2 linked regions of the Callithrix jacchus genome follow. The protein of the gene in region 2 binds, or shares a complex with, the protein of the main gene of each other region. Links are inferred from orthologs where the notes say so. Each region holds a gene or a part of one and is shown on either strand. Other genes may lie near its edges.

Region 1 (6,212 bases), on a different chromosome or scaffold from region 2:
GCAGAGGTGAGTGCTTAGGGCCTTCTCAAGTCTTTCCCAAGCATGCACATAGCACTGTTTATGCACATGGCCTCCTAGATTCCCAGGAATATGTTGAAGCTTTTCAAAGCAACCTATGGACATCTCAGTCTCCAGTTTTTTGATTGGCCCGTTGTTTTGCCCAACAATTATCTCCTGCCTCAGGCAACCATGATGTTAAGCAATCATCTCTAATAATTGACTATTTGCCCTCATGAGCTCAGAGTCAGATCAAAAAGAAACAGCTTCTTAAGCGAGGATTTTCAGGGAATCACCAGACAGGTCAAATAATGACAATTCTCTGGGAATGGGCCTTTGATCCAACCCCATTCTCTCCCCTCCAGAGGCTAGTGGGATGATGGTTTTCACTGATTGTCGAATGTTGGTTTGCAAGGTCACTACAGAGCTGGAAAAGGGAAAAAGAATAGGGCAAGTTAAAACACCACAGAACTCACTGGTCCTGAGATTCACCCATTTTTCTTGCTGGATTGCTGCAAGACTTTGATTAATTTTCACAGTTCTCAAAAGGCTAATTCTGACAATTTCTGCCAGCACTCTCATTGCTTTTATGTAGAAGAAGATTTTTGGAGGTTCTTTCTCCATAATTTTTTTTCCCAATGTCATTAGAGGTTAATACATGTAAAGCATTTACAACAATATCTGGCACATAGGGTTACATGTACGTGCCATTATTACTGTTGTTAATTGAGAAGCCACATATGAACTCACTTCCTCCCTCTAGAGAAGAGTGGTCCCAGGGAACACAAGAAGGGCAGATAGGGAAAGAGAAAGATGTCCATTTGCACAGAAAAGAGAGGGAAAAAGGCAGGAACATACTTTGGAAGATTACTGGGGGAAAGGTAGTGCTCCGTGTCACAAGCGTGGGAGGTATGGTTCATGGCTGGTTAGGCTAAGAAGTCAAAGAGGTAGATCCTGGTCAGGCTCAAGCTCAAGCAATGCCTGTTGGCTCCAGTGACTAGCATTGGTTCCAGTGACTAGCATTGGTTCCAGTGACTGCGATTGGTCCAGTCACCTCTCACCAGCATGCTGCCCCCCTGTGATTGGTCCAGTCATCTCTCACCAGCCTGTTGGCCCCCTATGATTGGTCCACTCACCTCTAACTAGCCTGTTGGTCCCTTGTGATTGGTCCAATCGCCTCTTGCCAGCCTGTTGCCCCCTGTGATTGGTCCACTAACGTCTCCCCAGCCTGTCACCCCCTGTGATTGGTCCAGTCACCTCTCACCAGCCTGTCTCTTCCTTGTGTGGACTCTGTTCACTGCCCAGCCCTCTTCTCTGACTTTAAAAGTCAGATGGTTCCAGAGATGGGTGAACAGGACTGTAACAGCACGTCCCCATGTGTGGTCCCTGTAGAAGCTACCTCGCCCTGCCCTGCCCTGCCCCACCCAGGGGAGTAGGCTGGAGGCTGTGCCTGTTTATGGGTGTGCTTCGCAGTGGTCAAGGGACATGGGCATCCCAGCTATGCAATACCCTGCCAGCACATGCTCACACCTGTCACCCTCAAGCACTGGGACTTGGTGTTTCTACAACAGCTGGGTACTTACGAGTCTTCTGGGCACCCAGTTGGGGTAAGCAAGGGAGGGGATCTCTGGAGCAAGCAGGAGGGAAGGAAGAGGGAGCAGAGACATGGGAGGATGGGGTCTGGGCTCTCTGACCCACAAACAGACTGCAAGATCTTTGGGGACTCAGCCTTAGTGTCCTTGAAGGACAGGTTTCAAGGAACATCCAGTCTGATAAAAGACGGAATAATCCTGAAAGCCAGGTGGGACATCACACTGACATCACCCTGCTCCACTGCCACCATGGATGGGTGTCCCTCAGCCTGGGAAGGGATCTTATGTTGTTGAGAGTCAGTCCCATATTTTATAGAGGAAGAAGCTGAGGCTGAGTTGAGCTTTGTCCTCCCTGGAGAGTCATTTGGAGCGTGGTAGGCAATGGTGATGATTCCTGGCCGCCTGGTCTCCATGTAGCCCTCTTTCCTCTAAAGAAGTGCTGTATTTGCTAAGAATCCAGAGGCCTCTGCATTTGCAGAATAGAGGTTAGCCACACAAATACCAGGTACTCCTGAAAAAGAGCTTACCTTCGACATGTGGTTTGGTCACATGGTAGGAAATTGAGGAATATGCTTAAATGACAGGATGAGGAAAATGCTTTGACATGGTCTTTTAAAATGCTGATAGGGTCTGAGCTAAGAGAGGAGGCACAGAGGACTGAAGTCCTGACAAAAGTGGGGGTGGAGGCTGGGCACGGCGGCTCATGCCTAATCCCAGCACTGTGGGAGGCCGAGGTGGGCGGATTGCTTGCAGTCAGGAGTTCAAGACCAGCCTGGCCAACATGGCAAAACCCCGTCTCTACTAAAAATACAAAAGTTAGATGGGTATGGTGGCGCATGCCTGCAATCCCAGCTACTGGGGAAGCTGAGGCAGGAGACTAGCTTGATCCCAGGAGGCAGAAGTTGCAGTGAGCCGAGATTGCACCATCGTACTCCAGCACAGGGAACAGAGTGCAACTCTGTCTCAAGAAAAGGTAGGGGGCAGGCGGCTCACCCACAGCCATGTCCTGCTTCATAGACATTCAACCTGTGCAGCTGCCCTAGGCCCAGGGCCCTCAAGGGTCCATGCTTGGTTTCATGCCTCGCTGTCACTGCCTTGAAATCCTCGGTAATTTGGAGCAGGGAACCCTGCACTTTCATTCAGCACAGGACCCTGCAAATTCACCTGTCCAGTCTACTCTCCTGCCTTAAGTCCAGGAACGAACCTGCCAGCCTGATAGGTTCCACGAGTCTGAGCACACAGAGCCACTCAGCCTGTCTTGGCAGGGAGGGAGTGATCAGGTGGGGCCCAGAAGCCCCCGGGCTGGTAGAGCCACAGTCCCTTTCTTGAGCCTGCTCAGATGTCTGCTCTGGACAAAAAGCCCCAAGGTCCAGCCAGACAGAAATAGCTGGGACAAACGCCCTCGTCTTACAACCCAGCTCCGGCCACCAGCACAGCACATGCGAGTCGGATCTTCTTCCCTGGGCAGAAAGGGCTGGGCGGCTGCCCTGTTCTAGGCAGAGAAACCTGCCTTGCTTCGTGTGGGTAACTTTGTTGGGGAAAGATGGGAAAGGGCAGGAAGTGGGGATTGGGAGGGATGCTGGGTACATTACCCCCGGGCAGGGTGATGGGCCCGCACATCTTGCTGTCGTCCATGGGGATGCGCTTGGTACAGATCCGCCAGAGGCCGAAGTGGGCCGCCTCGCAGGTGGTGTTGTGGTGCTCCAGGTGGGGGCTCAGCACAGCCCAGTGGTCGGTTACCACGGCTGTTGTGGCCAGCACGATGCCCGCCAGGATGCAGAAGAGGGTCACACGGACCTTCAGCGTTTTGGTCTGGGACATGGTGGTCGCCGAGGCGTGGGTGCCCTGGGCAGGGTCCGGCGGCTGTGTCTCCTAGGGCAGGTGACAGCCGAGCTGGGGGGTGGCAGTGGCTGTCAAGCTGGGAGTGGCCACTAAGTTTAGTGTGGCCTGGCTGAGCCAGAGTGGGCTGGGCTTGGGGCTGAGGGACGCTGGACATGCTGAGCAGCTGTCCAGACGAATCAGGGGCCTGAGGGAGGCTGCTATTAATGACCGTCTCCAGGCGTGGCACCGAGGACAGCTTCTGCTCAGGTTTCAGGGGTTTCTTCCTTTGGGAGCCAGAAGTACCCTGGTAGGGGGGCAAGGAGAGAAGGCTCTGGGTGGTGGATTGAGGCCTCTGTGGAGTAGCAGCTCAAGGTGTCTGAGTTGGGAGGGGGTGGGCAGCAGGGGCTGGGGGTGGGGACCTGCCTGCTCTGGGCTGCTGGGAAAGGGCATCCCAGGGCAGGGGAGGAGACCAGAGCTGCAGGCTGCCTGGCTCTCCCGGGCTCCCACAGGGCAAGTCTGTCACCAGCAGGGCAGTGAGTAGGTCCTCATCCTGGGATCTGGGGAGACTAGGACTGTTTAGGGACATCCCAGGGAACCCGTCCAGGGCCTCTGGAGTCCACCTCTTGGGGAGTGTTTTAGCCACAAAATCCATGGCCTCCCCCAAACCGTGGGAAGATTATTGGTGTTTCCCAGGCCTGGCCTTTCCCGACTCTGACCCCTTCATGAGAACATCACTTCCTTCTCAATTCTCTTTCCATACCCGGAACTGGGTCCAGAGCAAAGCTGCATTTGGGGTCAGTGTCTGTACTGCCCACAGAGTGTCCTCCGAAACCAAGAGAGAATGGCCTGAAGAGGACAAGGAATCTCGTTGGACTTGGTCGTTCTGTTTTCAGGGTACTGTGTTTGGTTTTGCCTCTATTAACAGCAGGTGATAATGATTTTTATTTAATTTGAACACACTTATTTAATTTGCAAAATAAGGGTGTGAGTAAAAAAGAACAAATAGGTTGATTTACGGGGGATAATTAGGAGGCTCGTGAGTGCTTAGATATGGCAGAGAACACAGAAAGCCTGGAACTGAGCGCCCTCCCAGGGTCCTGTGTGCCTGGCTGCCCTGCAGGGATCCCCAAGGCTCTGGCCCCTACATCCCTCCAGGTTGTGCCAGGTTGTGCCATCTCTTCTTTCTCAGCTTACCGGGTAGCCCTTTTTGGGTCTAGCCGAGAGGCTGATGCATGACCAGGAATAGCTTCCTAAGCTGGGTGGGGCCTTGAGCTTCAAAATCCTGGCCTCAGATTGACACGGTTTACAGAGACTCTCCCCATGTGGACAGAAACGTTCCAGCCTCCAGCCTTGGAATCACAGAAAGTTCACGATGATGATAATAGTAGCAACGGCTCGTCTTCAGCGAGGGCTTCCTGTCGACTAGGCGCTCTGCTAAGCCTTCCTCCAGCATCACAGTTATTCTCCACACCAATCCACAAGGGAGCTACGACTCTTACTGCATTTCACAGATAAGGACACAGAAGCTCAGAGACATGATGCCACTTTTCCAAGATCACACAGCAGGAAAATGAGGAAGCCAGGTTTCAGAACCCAGAACCCAAAGTCTTAACCCATGGTTTGAACTGGGAAGAAGCTTCAAGATCTATTGTGACAGATTAGGAATCTGCAGCCCAGAGAGGAGATGTGGCAAGCCAGGGTGAACAGCCCCAGGGATGAGCGGAACCCTCATGTCTCCAGCCACTGGCATGTGGTTATGGCAGTTCCACCCAAACTTTCATATTTTAAAAATCAGTTTCGCGTCCAGATTACGATCTCCCGAAAACTTCTCTCCCCACTGCTCTCATCTCTGCCCGCTTCCTCCCTGCCCCCCACCTCTCTGTTCCCAGTGGGCGCTAATCCATCACAACTGACTGATGGCTGACTGGCTGTTGACACCTGCCACCGCCCCTGCCTCAGCTCGTGGAGGAGCTGCCTGTCTCCAGGTGGGTGGACTGTCTCCATGGGGAACTCCCAGGAGCTGGGACATGGCCACAGCCTCTCAGCCCTCTCACACTGCTTGTGGGGTCCCAGCTTCAGGACCCTGGTACCTGAGGACCTCAGGGGGTGCTGGACAGCTTGAGCAGAACTACTGAGTGCCAGGCACCCCAGCAAAGCAGTAGTCAGGGAGCCAAAAAAAGGTTCCAGTGTTTTAAGACAAAATATCTAGAAAGAAGCTATTTAATTTTAGCATTACAAGTAAATACAGTGTCATTTGGAGAATAAAAGTGTCTTTTGAATTTCCTGGTGTGGTGGTGGCGGGGTGGGGGGTGCCCTAAGCTCTTCCGTGCCAAGAGCCTCTGAGGCTCTTGAAAAGCAGCCTGAGGGGGCTCAGCCCATGGGGTGCACCAGCGCCAGCCATGGAGACATTGCAGGCCCATCAGAGACGCCAAGCCTTGGCAGGGGCAGCCACTGACAACCTCTGCTGCTCTTTCCCTCGGTGGGGGACAGGTTCGTGCTCCATGCAGGGGTCCAGAGTCCTCCACCCCAGTGCAGTGAAAGCATGAAAGATTGATGGCCTCTTCCTTTTGAAGTCATCTTTGTGTAAATCGCACCACGAGGCCGGCAGCTGCAGCTGCTGCAGGCAAGTCCACGTTCTCTTCCCTGTTTACTGAAAGCTCCTTCAAAGACGCCTTTTCTGCTCACAGAGGCATTGCCGGGCTGCCTGCCTGGTCCCCCAAGGGCCTGGCAGGGCCAGGAAGGGACTTCAGTAGTCACAGGCATTTGCTGGGAGTTGAGCAGGGCAACATCCATGTCCTCACC
Region 2 (6,164 bases):
TCTGCCTGTCCTTTCTTCCGTTCCTTGTTTGCCATGATCACCCCAGTGCGCAGGGTTTCAAACACAGGGTCATTGCGACTGGCAGCAGCTAATGGAATGGGAGGAGAAAGAAGACATTATTGGGGAGACAGAGAAAGATCTCTTAAGGAAGGGGTGGGATTGAGCAGATGTGTGTGGGAGTGGGGGTGCCACAGGGGAAGATTAGGGAAGGGTCTGCTGGGCAATACCTAGGTCACCAATCTATAAAGGGCTCTAAAAACATCACTGATAATGTGAGGGAGAAAAGTATTTATCAGAACTCCTTCCAGGCAGAGCATTATGTGACGTTGGAAAGAGAACTTTGGTTGCTTGGGGTTGAGACATGCTCAGAATCACTATTCTCCTTCTAAGCAGAATGGCCTCTTAACTGCTGACTTTTGCACTGCTGAATGGCATGTCTAAGCTGAGGAGCTACCACCAACAGGTTCTTCTTTTTCACCCATGCTCCTCAGAGTTAAGCCTCTCCTCCAAATAAATGTTGAGCAAATTGTCAATGAATATGCTTTTAAGGTTGCCAAATTATGAACCTGCCCAGGGTGTCCACAGCCTTTGGGCTTTGCCCCGAGTCTGGTATGACTCTGTAGTAAGGATGAGGACAGTCTAGAATCCTTGTTCTTGCTTAGAAATGATTTTGCACATGAAGAGCACAGATTTTGAAGCTAGCAACTGGAGATTCCAGTCTTGGCTCTACCGCTTGCTAACTGATGTAGCTGCAACTAAATCCTATCTCCCTCTGCTGTAAAATGGGGATATGGCCTCTGGATCCAAATAAATATAAAAATATTAGGTTGAGGGAGAATGATGGGAAATAGAAAGTTTCTGTTTCAGAATTTGGCTTCCAAAGCTAGAGATGGCATGACACTTATAGCAAGGAGCTGTTCACTTAAAAAAAAAAAAAAAAGAGATGGCATGAAACCATCTGTAGGCTTGCCCATTCCCTCATGTTCCATAAAGGGCACTTACAGAGATCTTTGACACAAGCATACTGCTGATTGCTGTAGAGTGGGGAACTATAGGCCCGACGGAAACCAGGTGGCTGTAGGGTGGAATAGGAGGAATCATTAGAGGTAGCAAGGTAGGCTAGAAGCCCATCTCTCTCATAAGTGGTCATCCTTTCTCAGAAAAAGAGATGGGCTAAGAAAGAAAAAGAGAAATGAATGGGATGGAGGAGGGACCAGCAAGGGGTAGCTGGTGATACGGCCCCACCTTTCTACACCTTGTTCCCCGGAGCCTACTCACGATCTTGCCAAAGCATCTCTGCATTTCCACATAGGACTGACAGTGTTCATGGATGTTGGTTTTGCAGTTCTTACAGCGAAGCCCAAACTTGTTATTGACTTGGGAGAGGGGGAGAAAATTCAGATAAGGTTCCAGGTTGCCCTTTCCCTTTGTACCACTGCTGCTACACTTAGGTTCCCTTTTCTGTCTAGGACCCTACTCTCACAATCTCTAATAGCACTGCCTTACAGCAACTCTAGCCGCAGCCCGTCTGCTACAAATACTCCTCTCCTATACCCTCTCCCCCAACCCCTGCCTTCAACATCATACTCTCTTCACTTCCCTTCATGACTCACGAACAATCATCCGGGCACAGACATCACAGAACTTTGGCTTCTTGAAGAAGTGATCTTTGAATTTGTGGGGCTTATCGTTGACAAGCTTAGGAGGTTCTGGGGGTGGCTCCTCCTCCTCCTCTTCTTCCTCCTCCTCTTCCTCATAGATGTAGTAGATGGGCCCACCCCCAGCTCCCACTGCCTCCCCATTGGCCTGGGGCTCTGGGGGAAGTTCCATGTCTTTTGTCCCTGTAGACCCCTTCCTGAGTAATTGCTTCAGCCGCTGTAGCTGAGGGAGGGAGTGAAGGAAACCCAGTGTTAAAAGGACTTGTCACCCTCTCTAGAGTACAGGGGCACTAGAGCAAACTAGACAGTTTTCTAGTTAGGGGTAAGGAATGTACCCTAGGATTAGGGGGGCTGCAGGTGGCCAGCAAAAAATGAGTCATACACAAATGTGATCAATTTAAGCACTCTTCAGCTATAATGGCTTCCCGCTCCCCACACCCAGTGGTCAGAGGCCCAGACTCACCCCACTTTGCCGAGTCTCTGCGGGGAAGGAGGGTTTAGGGGACTCCAGCACCTCCTTTTCTGTCATCCTGCAAGAGGTTGGACCCCACTATGAAATCTAATCCCTTTCATTCTTCTCTCTCTTATTTCTGTCCCTTGCAGTAGGGTGGTCCTCAAAGGGGAGGCTTTTGGAGAAATGTGGTTTCATATATATATATATATATATATTTTTTTTTTTTTTTTTTTTGCAATGAGGTCTCACTCTGTCACCCAGGTTGGAGTGCAGTGGTGTGATCACGGCTCACTGCAGTCTTGATCTCCCAGGCTGAAGCGATCCCCCTACCTCAGCTTCCTGAGTAGCTGGGACTACAAAGTGTATACTACCTGGCTACTTTTTTATTTTTTGTAGAAGCAGGGCCTTGCTTTGTTGCCTAGGCTGGTCCTGAACTAGCTCAAGCAGTTCTTCCATTTCAGCCTCCCAAAGGGTTGAGATTCCAGGCATGAGGCACTGCTCCAGGCCAAATACAAATCCTTTGGCAGTGTTTATTAACAGATAGATTTCATGGAGGTCTAGAAAAAAGCCCAACATGGCTGGGCGTGGTGGCTCACACCTGTAATCCCAGCACTTTGGGAGGCTGAGATGGGTGGATCACTAGGGGTCAGGAGTTTGAGACCAGCCTGGCCAACATGGTGAAACCCCATCTCTACTAAATATTAAAAAATGAGCCGAGTATGGTGGCAGACACCTGTAATCCCAGCTACTTGAGAGGTTGAGGAAGGAGAATTGCTTGAACCTGGGAGGCGAAGGTTGCAGTGAGCCAGGATTGCGCCACTGCACTCCAGCGTGGTTCTAGAGCAAGACTCTGTCTCAAAAAAAAAAAAAAAAAAAAAGAAAAACAAAAAAGCCCAACAAACGGAAGTCCCCAGTTAGTTCCTCAAACTGATACTTATCCTTCCATCCTGAGGGGTGACCCCAGAGTTTACAGCCCTTACACAGTGTTCACTGCTGAATGATTTACGTTATTTTCTTATAGGTACTTTGTTTCTCCTGGGAACCTGTGGGCAACAGGTATGTGATGCATACCTTCCCAGATCTCCTCTCTTCAAGAGGTTTAATGGGTGTCCTTGTGTGTGCACAAGGAAGGATGGACTGGAGATTTGTCCTCCCCTACTTCTTTCTTGAGCCCTGGGGGCACTGTGCCTAGTGCTGTCCCAGCCTGCTTCAGGGCTCAGCTATTTTAAGTTTTCAGGGTAATATGAGCCTTTCCTTCCCTTACTACTCCATTCCCTTCACCCCACCCCCACCCTTACCCCACCCTCCAATCCTAACTCATCCTAGAGTAGAATAATAATTTGACTCCTAAAACCCAGATGATTCACAACAAGGAGAGAAATGAAGAAGTTAAATAGATTACTGGCCAGGGCAGCTGGGGTGAGCAGCTGTGGAAATGGAAAGAGGATGAAGAGGTAACTTACGTTTGGGATTCCCTAAATCAGTCAGTCCACAGAATGTAGAGGAAGTTGGGAACCCCGAGGCCTTGATGGTGGTGCTGGGGAAAAACCAGTCCTCTTCCTTGGGGGCTAAGCCCCCCCAGTACCCTCTGTGTTCACACCAGCTACCCAGACGCTATTTGTAGACCTCCTAGCCTCTTGCGTTGGTGTCAGGGCTGAAATGACAGGGCTGGAGGAAAGTAGACAGCTGAGCAACACAGCTGACACAGAGAAATTGGACACTGAGAGGTCTGGGGCAGGGTTGGACCCTAACTCCTCCCATCCCCCAGAGCTGCTGTTCCTTGATTCTTTATCTTTGGCCAACAGGTTAATAACAGCTGAAATCAAGAAGGGACAGTTTCTGTTCATGCTCACTTAAGGGGAGTTTATTTTTATATTTCATTTATTTTTTGAGACAGGGTTAAAAAAAAAAAAAGACTAATGTGAACTCTCAGAGCTCTCCTATCAGCCACACTAGATTGCTTTTTTTTTTTTTTTTAAAGATGGAGTCTCACTCTTGTCGCCCAGGGGAGTGCAGTGAAGTGATCTGGCAGGTTCACTACAAACTTCACCTCCTGGGTTCAAGTGATTCTCCTGCCTCAGCCTTCCAAGTACCTGAGATTACAGGTGCCCACCACCATGCCTGGCTAATTCTTGTATTTTTAGTAGAGACAGGGTTTTACCATGTTGGCCAGGCTGGTCTTGAACCCCTGACCTCAGGTGATCCACCCGCCTCAGCATCCCAAAGTGCTGGGATTACAGGTGTGAGCCACCAAGCCCAGCTAGATTGCTTTTTTCTAAAAAAAATATATTTTATTGCATTTCAGGTTTTGGGGTACATGTGAAAAACATGCAAGATTGTTGCATAGGTACATACATGGCAATATGCTTTGCTGCCTTCCTCCCCAACACATATATCTGATGTTTCTCCCCATGTTATCCCTTCCCAACTCTCCACTGTCCCTCCCCTAGTTCCCCCCGACAGACCCCAGTGTCTGATGCTCCCCTCCCTGTGTCCATGTGTTCTCATTGTTCAACACCCACCTATGAGTGAGAACGTGCAGTGTTTGATTTTCTGTTCTTGTGTCAGTTTGCTGAGAAAGATGGTTTCCAGGTTCACCCATGTCCCTACAAAGGACACAAACTCATCGTTTATGGCTGCATAGTATTCCATGGTGTATATGTGCCACATTTTCCCTGTCCAGTCTACCATCGATGGGCATTTGGGTTGGTTCCAAGTCTTTGCTATTGTAAACAGTGCTGCCATGAACATTCGTGTGCATGTGTCCTTATAGTAGAATGATTTATAATCCTTTGGATATATACCCAGTAATGGGATTGCTGGGTCAAATGGAATTTCTATTTCCAGGTCCTTGAGGAATCACTACACTGTCTTCCAAAATGGTAGAACTAATTTACACTCCCACCAACAGTGTGAAAGTGTCCCTATTTCTCCACATCCTCTCCAGCATCTGTTGTCTCCAGATTTTTTAATGATCGCCATTCTAACTGGCATGAGATGGTATCTCAATGTAGTTTTGATTTGCATTTCTCTAATGATCAGTGATGATGAGCATTTTTTCATGTTTCTTGGCCTCATGTTATGTCTTCTTTTGTAAAGTGTCCATTCATATGCTTTGCCCACTTTTGAATGGGCTTGTTTTTCTCTTGTAAATCTGTTTTAATTCTTTGTAGATTCTGGATATTAGCCCTTTGTCAGATGGGTAGATTGCAAAGATTTTTTTCCCATTCTGTTGATTGCTGGTTCACTCTAATGATTGTTTCTTTTGCTGTGCAGAAGCTGTGGAGTTTAATTAGATCCCGTTTGTCTATTTCGACTTTTGTTGCCAATGCTTTTGATGTTTTAGTCATGAAGTCCTTGCCTATGCCTATGTCCTGAATGGTTTTGTCTAGGTTTTCTTCTAGAGTTTTTATGGTGTTAGGTCTTATGTTTAAGTCTTTAATCCATCTGGAGTTAATTTTAGTGTAAGGTGTCAGGAAGGGGTCCAGTTTCTGCTTTCTGCACATTGCTAGCCAGTTTTCCCAACAGCATTTATTAAACAGGGAATCCTTTCCCCATTGCTTTTGTCAGGTTTGTCAAAAATCAGATGGTTTTAAGTGTGTGGCATTACCTCCGAGGCCTCAGTTCTGTTCCATTGGTCTATATATCTGTTTTGTTACCAGTACCATGCTGTTTTGATTACTGTGGCCTTGTAGTATAGTTTGAAGTCAGGTAGTGTGATGCCTCCAGCTTTGTTCTTTTTGCTTAGAATTGACTTGGCTATACTAGATTGCTTTTTATCTGTCGGTGATTTGAGGAGTACTTTGCTATCCTGTAAGCAAGTGAAGAATATGGTTGGGTGTGGTGGCTCATGCCTGTAATCCCAGCACTTTGCAAGGCTGAGGTGGGCAGATCAGGAGTTCAAGACCAACCTGGCCATCATGGTGAAACCCCATCTCTACTAAAAGTACAATAATTAGCTTGGCATGGTGGTAGGCACCTGTAATCCCAGCTACTTGGGAAGCTGAGGCAGGACAATTGCTTAAACCCAGGAGGCAAAGGTTGCAGTGAGC

Evidence for each region.
Region 1: STAC3 (region 2) and CACNG1 share a complex: the UniProt entries of both Homo sapiens proteins name them as parts of the calcium channel complex. The link is inferred for Callithrix jacchus from reciprocal best matches to the Homo sapiens genes STAC3 and CACNG1.

What each region holds. Positions count from the first base shown.
Region 1 is NC_133506.1:122,262,406-122,268,617, forward strand, and holds the start of CACNG1 (voltage-dependent calcium channel gamma-1 subunit), read right to left. Parts: upstream 3,516-6,212; 5' UTR 3,411-3,515; coding exon 3,182-3,410; intron 1-3,181. UniProt on the Homo sapiens protein: Regulatory subunit of the voltage-gated calcium channel that gives rise to L-type calcium currents in skeletal muscle. Regulates channel inactivation kinetics.
Region 2 is NC_133510.1:62,452,206-62,458,369, reverse strand, and holds the start of STAC3 (SH3 and cysteine-rich domain-containing protein 3), read right to left. Parts: upstream 3,769-6,164; 5' UTR 3,576-3,768; intron 2,189-3,575; 5' UTR 2,188-2,188; coding exon 2,122-2,187; intron 1,882-2,121; coding exon 1,614-1,881; intron 1,377-1,613; coding exon 1,279-1,376; intron 1,076-1,278; coding exon 1,003-1,075; intron 89-1,002; coding exon 1-88. UniProt on the Homo sapiens protein: Required for normal excitation-contraction coupling in skeletal muscle and for normal muscle contraction in response to membrane depolarization. Required for normal Ca(2+) release from the sarcplasmic reticulum, which ultimately leads to muscle contraction.